Linked DNA regions of Arabidopsis thaliana. The protein of the gene in region 2 interacts with the protein of the main gene of each other region in a pairwise test. Each region holds a gene or a part of one and is shown on either strand. Other genes may lie near its edges. The genes, in order: AT1G55805, CXIP2 and AT5G17560.

Evidence for each region.
Region 1: the proteins of CXIP2 (region 2) and AT1G55805 interact in a two-hybrid assay, tested with the Arabidopsis thaliana proteins (one study listed by BioGRID).
Region 3: the proteins of CXIP2 (region 2) and AT5G17560 interact in a two-hybrid assay, tested with the Arabidopsis thaliana proteins (one study listed by BioGRID).

The regions. Positions count from the first base shown.
Region 1 is NC_003070.9:20,858,056-20,861,441, reverse strand, and holds AT1G55805 (BolA-like family protein), read left to right. Parts: upstream 1-1,958; 5' UTR 1,959-2,003; coding exon 2,004-2,486; 3' UTR 2,487-2,832; downstream 2,833-3,386. Other genes in the region: UKL3 (uridine kinase-like 3), read right to left, coding at 28-169; AT1G55803 (ferredoxin-fold anticodon-binding domain protein), read left to right, coding at 3,207-3,386. UniProt on the Arabidopsis thaliana protein: May act either alone or in interaction with glutaredoxin as a redox-regulated transcriptional regulator, or as a factor regulating Fe-S cluster biogenesis. The glutaredoxin-BOLA1 heterodimers bind a labile, oxygen sensitive iron-sulfur cluster.
Region 2 is NC_003071.7:16,030,640-16,035,187, forward strand, and holds CXIP2 (CAX-interacting protein 2), read right to left. Parts: upstream 2,531-4,548; 5' UTR 2,416-2,530; coding exon 2,035-2,415; intron 1,209-2,034; coding exon 708-1,208; 3' UTR 546-707; downstream 1-545. Other genes in the region: FAC1 (AMP deaminase, putative / myoadenylate deaminase), read right to left, coding at 3,128-3,196, 3,280-3,378, 3,471-3,551, 3,775-3,948, 4,022-4,132, 4,214-4,267, 4,348-4,500. UniProt on the Arabidopsis thaliana protein: May only reduce GSH-thiol disulfides, but not protein disulfides. Participates probably to the maturation of iron-sulfur proteins and to the regulation of the redox state of the BOLA proteins.
Region 3 is NC_003076.8:5,786,300-5,790,512, forward strand, and holds AT5G17560 (BolA-like family protein), read left to right. Parts: upstream 1-2,058; 5' UTR 2,059-2,174; coding exon 2,175-2,498; intron 2,499-2,833; coding exon 2,834-2,901; coding exon of another isoform or gene 2,902-2,905; exon of another isoform or gene 2,906-3,076; coding exon of another isoform or gene 3,077-3,095; exon of another isoform or gene 3,096-3,230; coding exon 3,231-3,372; 3' UTR 3,373-3,665; downstream 3,666-4,213. Other genes in the region: PEX19-2 (peroxin 19-2), read right to left, coding at 444-489, 572-888, 1,197-1,485, 1,655-1,694, 1,822-1,867.

The DNA.
Region 1 (3,386 bases), on a different chromosome or scaffold from region 2:
TAAACTAAAATCCACCACGACTCTCACCGATCACAAAAGGTTGACCATGTTCTTCTTCCTCAGCCATTTGCTCTGGTCTATTTGAAGCTAAACCATCCATTTGATGAAATCCTGAGAAATGAACCTTTGAGGATGTCTCTATTATATTCACATCCGACTTTGAAGCCATTCCTACAACACAAATATGCAAATCTAAATTCACATGAAATATGCCAATAAGGAAAGCAAAGCTACCTTTGTTGTCACCATCCAGGAACAAAAAGGAACACTTTCCAGTCAAAAAACAATTCCTCAAAAGAATCAAACTTTTTAGTGATATTAGTTAGATGCCACAAGTGCCAATGCCGTGATACCCATTTTCTCAAATCCAGTATAACACACAAAACAATCAACCAATCATGATAGGCCACCAGATAATAGTAACGCCAATCCTAAACATGAAACCGTAACTTTTTCCCGGGTAAAAAAGGGAAAGAACAAAAAGAAAACAGAGATCAGAAGAGAAGAAAGCTAGATTTTTTTAGATCAATACATGCAAAAGAATTATAAGAAACGTTTCATCATCATATAAACCAATATAAACCGAATCAACATGAAGATAAAAACTCACGAAAAAAGAAAGAGGGATTGAATAAGCTTCGAGATCACCGATTAGATATAGCTAACAAAAGAGCTTCCAAGTTCCAGATAAAGAATCTAAACATATAAAGAGAGAGAGACACGAGCATTGCCTGTTAAACTCGATGCACAGACAAAAACTGGACTTATTAAAAATAAAATATATTGATAACGTATATAAGTGTATGTATATGCGTTGAAAGAGAGAAAAGAATGAAGGGAGGATGCAGCGGCGGTGACGGGTTTTTGCGGAAACCGGAAAGTGGTTTTTTTGGTTTTACGAAAGTACCCTTCCCACTGAGGGACGTGGTAGTGGCAATTCTCGTAAATGTGAGAGTGTTTGAGTCCCTAAAGTAGAGAGTGTGATCAAGGATCCACGTCAGATCCGAATAGGATGTAGGACCTACTATCGAAAGCTGCAGCTAAAAACGCAGTGATATAGATGCGTGTGGTCGAATGCAATCTTACGTTACTGCAAAATTATTTATTTTATACTATTTTGGATTACGTCTACAATAATTTGTTTATTCTGTTTTTATCCATAACATTTTAACTTCATATGTTTCCTCCAAATCTATTTACCTGAATTTTGTTTTTCGAAATATATAATTTACCAATTAATATTAGTTTTCTCAACATCTACACTACCAAAGGATGCTACAATGTAAAATATTATACACAGGAACAAAATTAGCATATTTACAATTTAATCTGCACGATTGTTTGTCTATAAAATTTGAAGGATATAATCAATTTCTTCTTTTAGTTCCGTAGATTTTTTTATGATTCATTAATGAAGTTTAGACCAGAGATTAGGATCCTTAAAAAATTTGGATGAGCAGCTTAGAACCACTTTAAAAATTAATTTTGTACATCCAAAATTATCGAAACAAACTATTACCCAAATCAAAGATATTGCCTTTACTTCAAAAACTGATTACAGTTTTGGGTATGTTTTAGCACTATACCATCTTATTCTTATCATACCATGATCTTCTTGGAGAATTCATCTAATACTATTTTGGTCATAAATCAACATTTCAAAAAATATCCACGTTACAATTGTAAATTGTTATTACTTAATTATGTCTTAAGTTTTTTAACCACACCAAAAAAATATTAAATCATATACACAAACATTTTTCGAATGTATTTGTTATTTGATTTCTCACACAAATGTGAAGAAGTATGAGGGTGTTTCGATACACTTTTAGAGTTTGTTTGTTTTTTTGTAATTTTTTTCTCACAAATGTGGGGTGATGTTATTATATTTGAAAATTTGTGGACCTTAATGCAAATAACGCCTCTAATAGTAGATTCGTGAAGATGATAAGCTGACAAAACGACAGCGTCTAATATAGTTTCGAGTTTCTTCGACAGTGGCAATGTTTTCATCTTCGATTAGGTTAATCGTATCTGGGTTCCACCGGACTCAACCCCTAAAATCGCCGGTAAATTCTCCGAGCGTCTTCATCTCCGTACCTAAATTCTTCAACTCTGAGTCAAAATCGACGGGAACTGGTTCAAGATCCGTAGCAATGAGCAGCGTTGAGAAAACCGGGTCGGATTCTGGAGCAATAGAGAATCGAGCGAGCAGGATGAGAGAGAAGCTTCAAAAAGAGCTCGAACCAGTGGAGTTAGTGATCGAAGATGTTTCGTATCAGCACGCTGGTCACGCCGGAATGAAAGGTAGAACCGACGATGAGACGCATTTCAATGTGAAGATCGTTTCTAAAGGATTCGAGGGAATGAATTTGGTGAAGAGACACAGGTTGGTCTATCATTTGCTCCGGGAAGAGTTGGATACTGGATTGCACGCTCTTTCTATCGTCTCCAAGACGCCGTCTGAGTCTCCTTCTAAAGACTAGTGTACTGGTACTGTTTAATGTATCTTCTGTTTCTGTTATCAGAGTTTCTCATCAAACTCTGTTCGATTCAAAGATTGAATTTTTACCATCAAAGTGCTCTGTTTTGGAATTTATTGCGGAGCCAAAGTCTTCATTTTTACATACGCTTGAGGTTGTGTGTTGGTGTTTCTGGAATTGTGTGTTGGAACAAAGACACTTGCTTTTAGTTCAATTCGAGTTCTGTCTTTTCTAGCATTCAAAACTATAATGGTCATAGCTTGATGAATTGAATTAAGGCTCCATTTAGTTGAAAGTCCAATCAATGGTCATGTGTTTGAATTCTCAAAGGAAGCTCGATTGTGCCGTGTTTGTTAGCTTGGAGCCAAAAGGGTTGTTTTTCCATGTTTCTGTCTCTTTCTTCTTCAGATTATTCTCCCATTGTCATCAATGGCGTTTGCGTCTTCTAATCGCTAACGCTAGAAACAAAACGCCTTTTCCAATAGTCCATGTCACCTTCCTTTAGCAACAAATATATGTACTTTATGGGCTTAAACCAAATCTAATCAGTGATCACCTTTTTCTTTTGTGGGTAAAGTGAATCGTCATTTCCATTGTCTGGAGAAGCTAAACCGTCCCTCTTCTATACATCAACAGAGCAAGTTACGTTAGTATATGTCCGAAGATAAATAAAACGAAAAAAAAACAACTTTCCAAACTATCATCATTTTCACTACATTGGCGATGAGGGAGCTCTCGGAGCTTAACAGAGACAGAGACGGTGATGAAGAAGTGTGGGTCAAACACTATTCATCCAAGCACCAGATACTTCTCGTAGGCGAAGGAGATTTCTCCTTCTCTTGCAGCTTAGCCACTTGCTTCGGCTCTGCTTCCAATATCTATGCTTCCTCTCTCGATTCATAC
Region 2 (4,548 bases):
ACACCTATCAACTTATTTTACAGTCTGACTTATATTTTTTTATTGTTTTGTTTTTATGTAATCGAATTTTTGAGACCGTTGACTTGTTGTTTTATTTGTTCATTTAATTTTTTTCAGTTTCCAAAAAAAAAATAAAAAGAAAATACAACCCATAAACTAACCTCGTCATCATCATATTTTTCAATTTTCATGAACGTTTGTTACTCATATAAGTTGTAACAAATGAATACCATAGAATATTTGTGTTATTTTTGAGATATTCATCCTACAAATGAGAATTTAGTACTTAAAATGAATATTTTGTGTTAGTTCACCCAAAGATTATGTCAAAGAAGAACAATAATTCTCTAATAAACGTGCTACAAGAATAAGAATGCTACTAAATTAATCAATTAAATCATTTAACGTAACAATAGTTACTTAACTCCATTTCCAATTATGTTTTGTTTCAACATATATATTTAAAGGGACAATTAGTGTAAAAAAAAAAAAAAAAAAATCATTGGTTAAATGACCACAAAATAGGTGAATTTAGTGGATGGTTATGCGTTTTAAACCTACTCTTAGATTTGTATAGAATCTGTAACCTTTTATAAATGCGGAAAACAGAAAACGAATCTGTAACTATGGAAGAGAATCCAAGCATGTTTTCTCTATAATGAATGTTTGGAGTTACAACTAGAAATAGAGAAGAAAATCGGATGAAACTAGTTCAAGATATTGGCAAGTTCACCATTTTCATACATTGAGGTCAAAATATCACATCCTCCTACAAGTTCTCCTTTCACAAATATCTGTGGAAACGTTGGCCAATTGCTGTAGTTCTTAAGCGTCTCCCTTAGCCCATGATTATACTCATCGTCAAGAACATCAACAGTTTCATAATCAACTCCTTGGCTTTCAAGAATCCCAACAACTCTCTGTGAGAATCCACATTGAGGAGCACTCCTTGATCCTTTTATGAAAGCTACCACTTTGCTCTCTTTCACTAAACGGTCAATCAGTTCCTCCAAAGGAACCGTGAGCTCAACATGGCGACCTGGAGTGAGACGGATATCGGATTTCTTCCTCGGAGTTTGTTTGACAAATGTGTTGTTCCCTGACTTATTCCCCGGCGGAACTTTTCCAGTTACTTTTATATGTTCTTCTATCCATAATTTCCATGCTTGTGTTAAAACTGCTTTATCTGGTTCTTCTACTATTCCAACCTAGCAAAACAATGATGAAATCAGTTATGGAAGATATATCAACAATACCAAAACTTGTCAATATCCATCACATGAGCATAAACAAAGTCCTATTGAGTCAATGGAGCAAATAAACACTAAAATAATCATAACATAAGTAAATCATAAGCAAAATATAAGCAATAAGTGACAAATAAATGATAGAAAGAGGAAAAATGTAAATTCTTAAGATAATAATACAACCCATAAAAATGTAAATTTCTCAAGAGCAATCTTTAGATTTGACTGTTGTAAGCTGATACAGTTAAGGATCATGGACACAAAAAAAACAAAAGCTCTTGTTATTAATTAAAAGAACCTGACACAGAATGGTAATCAAAATGCCAAAGAGAATCAGTTCTCTCCATTGGTACAAAACCGATATACCTCTCAAACCTCGACAAATCTCGCCAATGCGCACTGTCCTGTATCTATAGAGTAGAATTTCCCTAAAAAACTAATCAAAAGAAAATGCTAAAAAAACAAGTCCTAACTCCTAAGTAACATATACAAAATGAACTATTGATGCATCTCCTAATCATAATGTGTGGTAAGTGTTGTTAAAAGAACTCTTACCAACAACAGAACCAAGAACTTCATTAGCTCTAGTTTTGCAAACAATAGTGATCCTAATGATATGAAATACTATCTCTGGAACTAAAGTGATGAACTTTTGTAGTATTCATTTACCAAAACACTTCCCAAATCTATGAACAGTAATAAACAAAAGTCAACCACAACAAAACAAAGAATCCTTCGTTATAGTAACAGACATGCTACTCCTCTATATGAAATCATGGATAAGTACCTTAACGGAGCCACAAAGCTCCGGCACAGATTTGAGATGAGCAGAGACACTCGCAGCGATGTTCCGAGAAATTCCGACGAACTGAAGCTCGTCGCTCTTATCGTATACAGCGTATACACCGGAAGCGGACGGGATTGAATCAGCCTCTGTGATTGGAAGCAGCTCCGTCTCCGTTAGAGATTTGACGGCGGAGGCGATAAAGAAGGAACGACGACGAGACGGAGCTGTGTCACGGAGTGTGAAGGAGAGAGATGGGAAGGAGAAGGATGGTGTGAAGCGTGAATAGAGGGTGATCACAGGGGTATTTCGAGAAACATGTGGACGAACAACACGCGGAGAGGCTGAGGCGTGCAAGGAGGAAGAAATGGTGATTGCAGCCATTTTTGTCGGAGCTGAGAAAAGTTATCGGTGGAAAATGATGAGCTCTTTTATTTGACATAGGATTTTATCCATTGGGCCTGAATTGGACTGTTATTAAGGCCTTATGATACTTGGGTTTTAAATACCATAATTCGGAAAAGTGGGACCCGCTTTAGTTTCTTTTTTCTTACACATTCCATACTTCAGTCTGTTATGAAACAAAAGGAACATTTGTCTAGTTCACTTCATGATCAAGCCAAATCTACCAATGTGACCCAAAAACATGTGTTTAATCCGGTAAACAGATCTCAGTATGGTTTAAAACAGAACCAAAACAAACAAACAAAATTGGATTTCGAACATAATGCTATTTCTGATTAAAAATTGAATCTGAATCCAAGTTAAAACAGTATGTAATCCAAAAACTGAAATCCATTATATTAAAACCGGTTCTCAACTGGTCTCTTTGTATCTCATTATCTAAAAAGCTTTATAAAACAATAAGATTTTGGCACAGCCTAATCGCTTTCTCAGGGCACAGAGCCACTCATATTATTACCCTATCTACTAGGTTCCTGCTTTCGTATACTTCTCAAAATGCTCTCTTTGTTCCCCTGCAATCTGAAATTCAATCATTGACATCATAAGAAAATGTTGTAACAGAAGTGATAAGATCATTGAGTTGTTACATACATGTTGGATTCTTACGTCTTGCCATTTCTGATTGTGGTTTTTATGGAACAACTTCATCAGAGATAACAGCCTTGCCCAGATAAACCTGTTGCATCTCCTCTTTCCAGATCTGCATCAACTTCATATTTTTAATTTGTTTTCCTACAAAGAGAAATTAACTTGTGTGAAGAATAAATATATTTCATTCCATACCGTGTCACGGAACTCCACCCTTATGTGTGGCACGTTTGTTTTGTGAATGTCGTTTCCATCAGGTCCTCTTTTGTAGTAATCTTTTCCAATCCAGTGCGACTGGAACATCTCAACAAGTTAGTATTATTAGTAGATCGGAACAGAGACATCTTGTTCATTCATACTATGGGCCATGTTGATATAACAAGTACCTTCAGGGCGTGTGAGAAACCTGACTGGTACACTGAGTTACGAGCTATCTCGCACAGGTCACACGCACTCAGCTTCCAAACCTGAAAAATCCAGTTATCATCTTCAGTTAATACATAAATATAACTAAAACCTAGAAGAAAAGGATGTATAGAGAGAAATTTCATTGTTCTTCGTGTTTGCAATTGCAGAAGATCAGTATAAATCATTTAAAGGTAATAACTAATAAGACTTTTAAAAATATAATCAACTTTTCAAGGCCTATGATGTGTGGCAAGACTGCATAATGGAAAGATTATGACTTACTGATGCAGCTATGCTATACTCTTCCACGAGAGGTTCTTTAGTTAAGTGAATCTGAAGGGGGTCATCAGTAGACAGAGAAACATTGAGACCTCTTAAGAAAAACACAGGAAACGGGTTCCGGTGGTAATCTAGAAACAAAGAGTTGTTGCTCAGTGGTGACATGGCCAGACCAATCTGTCAAAAGAAATGTCTTCTTAGAACAGAAACAATAATACATATGTAATACATGCAGGCAGTCTCCACAAACCTGGGCGAGGTAGTACAGATACTGAAGCACAGGAGACTTTCGCAGATTGATTCCATGTGCGATGCTATGGCATGTTAGAAACGTAGCAGCCAAGTGGTCAATGTCACCAGCCTGAAATTTGTAGACATGTTAAAATTCCACTGAACTGTAACTGAAAACTGTTTATCTAGCACAAAGGAAGAAATAACACACCTCTCCAGAATGTGGTCGTAGCGTGATAGTAGTCATGCCCTTTGACTCTCGAAGCTGAAGAAAAATAGTTACTCCATATTACACAGTTTTGAGAACACCAAGTTAGTTACAGAAGCGACTAAGAGGAATGGTACCTTATTTAACACATAGAGGTTAGCATAACAATAGTAGACATAATACGAAAATGCAGGATTGAATGCGTTAGTCCATTGAGCTGGAGTGGGCATGTGTTTTGTGGGACGTCTTTCAGGTTTGCTTTCATCATCAACCAAATCAAATCCAACAACCTGAAATAGCAAACAAGAGACAGCAACCAGTCAAACCAACTCTTTATT
Region 3 (4,213 bases), on a different chromosome or scaffold from region 2:
ATTAAAGTTTTTTATGATGGTTTTTTAAGTGGCTAAAAGTTTAGAGTGAAAAGTTGAGATTCCAACTAGTATAGGACCGAAAATTCAGCCAACCCATGAGACTATGATGCAATGCCTCTTTGGCTCTTTCCTCTTTTGATTTGACGTGACAAACCTTACATAGGACACTTCATTTATTGAACAGCCGAAATGAATTGGATGAAGAGCACGTTTATGTTTCAGTGAATTTATGAATTTGTGTGTAGAGATTCAAAATTATTCCAAAACAGAACTAACCAAAAGGAACAAGAACCGAAACCCAATAACTTTGGTATTCAGGTAAGAAAAAAAAAAGAACTTAAACAAGCTTTGCATTGTACAATGCACAAGAGAAACAAAAACATGTTCTCCATTCTTCAATGGCTGGACAAGGCCAAACAGTTTTCTAAAACCTGTTTCTTCCCTCACATTACACAACAATTTGGTGAAGACTCGAGCATGTCCGGAGACCTGTGAACATATATATATACAAAACTTAGTCACCTTGGGGTCTTTAAAGATCACAGAGATTCCAATAAGGAAGAAGACTTACATTTGGCCCAGACTAGCGAAATCAAAGCCAGGATCCATCTCTTGCACTATATCACTCGGTGGTTGTCCACACTCTTGCATCTTCTGCATTATCTCCATTATCTTGGTCGAATTGTTTGGTTCGTTCTCGTACACCAAGTTGAGTTCTTTGATAAGTTCATACTGGCGTGAATAACGATCGAATTCTTCCTTGTTTAGACTGGATTCATGCTCTTCTAGCCATTTTGGGTATCTTGCACCAATCTCTTTCATTGGTTCGTGAAGAATATCCTTCGATAACAGCTGTTGCATCATCGTGTCCACTATCGACTCCAAGTCCTAAACAAAAACATGGAAATTATGAAATGAGAAATCATAAAAACAAAACTTCTAGTGATCAAGACTACTTTCAAATGGTTCTGCAAACTAATTCTCATCTTCAATTGTGGTTTTTTCGATATTAGTATCAGTATCACTACTATTAACACAGCCTTCAAAACTACTTTGCAACATGTGTTACTACTCTGCAACAACCTTAACTAGATGAAACTTTAGTAATCTAATCTAATCAGAGAACTTGAAGATAAAGAGAACATTAAACTAGATAAGTATAGCAAGAAGTAACAACTCAGTTTGTGTATACTTACGTTAGACCCAGTAAGATTCTCGAATTGCTTGATCCAATCTTCAACCATAGCATCATCAGAACCTGTAGGTTGCTGCTTCGATGACAAGGACTCAAGTCCCTTCACAGTTTCTCTAGTTTGTTCCCTGAGTTTATCAAGTGCCTCAGTAACATGGTCCTCTTTAGCAATCTTTTTCTTTCCTTTCTTCTTACTCCTCATATCTGGTAACCCCATTCCAAGACCTTGAACCCCACTTGGCAATGACTCTGTCTCTTTTTTATCACCCTCTTCTTTCTTAACCCCTCCATTTCTACATAAATCCAAAGCTAATCAACACCACAATTCCCACCAAAAACATAACAGAACCTCTAATTTAGTATTGATGTAACCACAATCTCAAAACTCTAGAGCTAAGTAATCTAACCACGTGGCATAGATACAATTAGAGAGAGACAGAGATTATGAGAAAAAGGAGTAACCTTTGAGTAAGATTAAGATCCTTGAAATCATCCAAGGCACCTGAGAAAGACCCAGAATTCTAAATTATAGAAAACGAACCCACAAGAACAAAAACGTTTTTCACCAATCACCTAGAATTGGTGAACATGTTATCAAATCAAATTAAAATTCGTTAGGAAATTATTACTATCGAGAAGCTCGTCTAAGTCATCGGTGTGAGTATCGTTGGCCATATTCTCGAGTCTCTCTTCCTCAACTCTCGAAGAAACTCACAAAATTCGAAGAGGAAGAGAGAATTATCGCATTGAAGAGAGAAACAAATTTCCAAAGGCGGTGTTGTTCAATTGATCAAGTTCAGGATTCGATCCAACGGCTGACATTATTTCCATTAAAGAATTATATTATTAAAATCTTAAAATGACTTGAAACCACGAAAGCCCATTAAGTTTAACTGTGTTGTGTCGTAAGCCCATTTTTTCAAGAACCAACGACATTGCCACAGAACATTTTTTTTTTTTTTACTCGCAAGTCTCTCAAGCAATGGCGCAGACATTAATGGCGACAACTCGTCCGTACGTTCTTCTCTCTTCCACAAGAGCGAGTCTTTATCGCCTTTTTCAATCTTCAAAGAGACCCTTCGCTTCATTCTCAGCTCCTCTCGTGAGATTCACTAACTCGAGATGTGTAAGCGCCGTTTTGTCTCGTAAAGAGACTGCGCCGTCGTCGATTTACGGCAATAGAGTTTCTAGGGTTTCTGGGTTTGGTGCTTTGGACATTCGCAGCCTTAATTTCAGTACTAAATCCTCTCAAATCAATGATGCTGGTTCTATTGATCAAACCCTTATGCAATCCATGGAGCTAAAGGTTGGATTTTTATACCTCATTAACTAATTTCAGTGAAATTGATTCATTGTGTATGTTTCAGTGTCAATTCAATTTATAGGTTATAGTATTATTAGTGAATTTTTGAAGGAATTGATTGGATACTTGGTATTGGCAACATGTGTCATATTTAGTTGATGGAAACTTGGTATTGGCAACACGATTGCTCTCAGTAGCTCCAAAATGATCAAGATCACTAAGCTAAGATAATTAATGAGGAATCATGTCTCTTACTTATATGATTGAAGCAAACGATTCTTTTTTTCGATTTATCAACACATGTCTCTCTACTTATGAGGTTTTGGCTTCATTTGCAGATCAAAGAACAATTGAATGCAGAGTCGGTTACTGTAACGGATATGTCTGGAGATGGACGTCATGTCTGGTAAGTACTCTGATTTAACTCATTTTTGTCTTCCAATGATGATTCTTTATTACACTTGAGTGAAGTTGCAGATGTGTGTTATCACTGTTATGGATAGTGTTTAGTGAAGTTTGTTAGATATATAGATAAATTCATATTTTGAGATTCCTTTTCTTTCATTTTAATCACAAAAAAGTTTCAGGTTCAACAAGTAGTAGAATCATCAAAGTTGGGATATAAGTTAGTACTTATTCTTCTGCTCTTGATGGAATCCAGTCATAGATTCTTACTTTAACTTGTCATATTAGATGGTTCTGTTACTTAATACCAGTTTTGCTTAATATTTGTAGCATCAATGTGGTATCATCGGCTTTTGAGGGACAATCTGCAGTGAACAGACAAAGGATGGTCTACAAAGCCATTTGGGAAGAGCTTCAGAACGTTGTTCATGCCGTTGATCAAATGACAACAAAGACTCCTTCTGAAGTTTGAAGCGTTAAATTTTCCGAACTCTAAAAGGCTTCAATATCTTATATTATTTGATTAGCTGACAATGCTGTTTGTTTTATCAAAAAGAAAAAAGCAAAAGGAACTGATATACAGCTTTTGGTTATTTTTTAAGTACTTTGATTGGTTCTCTTGCAACCCGCCAACACATGTTAAGTGTTGGAGCGTTTGCGGTTTGCGGTTACACGTGTTTGGCGTTTTCAATCGCTCTAAATGAATAAGAACAAAATTAGCGTTTGTGGTGGCGGATTATCTTCAAAATAAACTTTATTCTCTACTAGCTAATGTTATCATTTCAAAAAAAAAAATTTAGTCGATAAATAGATTAAAATATATTTGTGGTCATAAAAATTATATGTATGCATGGAAACGTATCAATTCAAAACTGAAAAGTTTTTTGCAATGAAAATTGTAAGATTTATAATAATATGATTGTTGCTTTTATATACATGTTACATGCATGAATAGTGAATAACTGAATATTGAACTACTATGGTTGATTTGGGAACCGTATTAGCCATCAACTAGACAAAAATCGTTTATATCAGTAGTAGCAACACTTAATAATGGTTACAACTAGTCCATCTGCTCAAATTCCCATATCTTTACTTTAGCTACATGGATTAACAGTTTTTTTTTTTTTGTTATCGGTTATTATACCATCATTAGAAACATAATGTTGTTTTGTAAAAAAAGAAAACACTCATATTGTTACAACTTGGAAACATAAGTTCATTTAACTCCAATTATTACAAGTAGACAAACATAGGTTTTATAGATACTATACTACCACAACCCATCACATGTTTTTTTTCACATTATGATT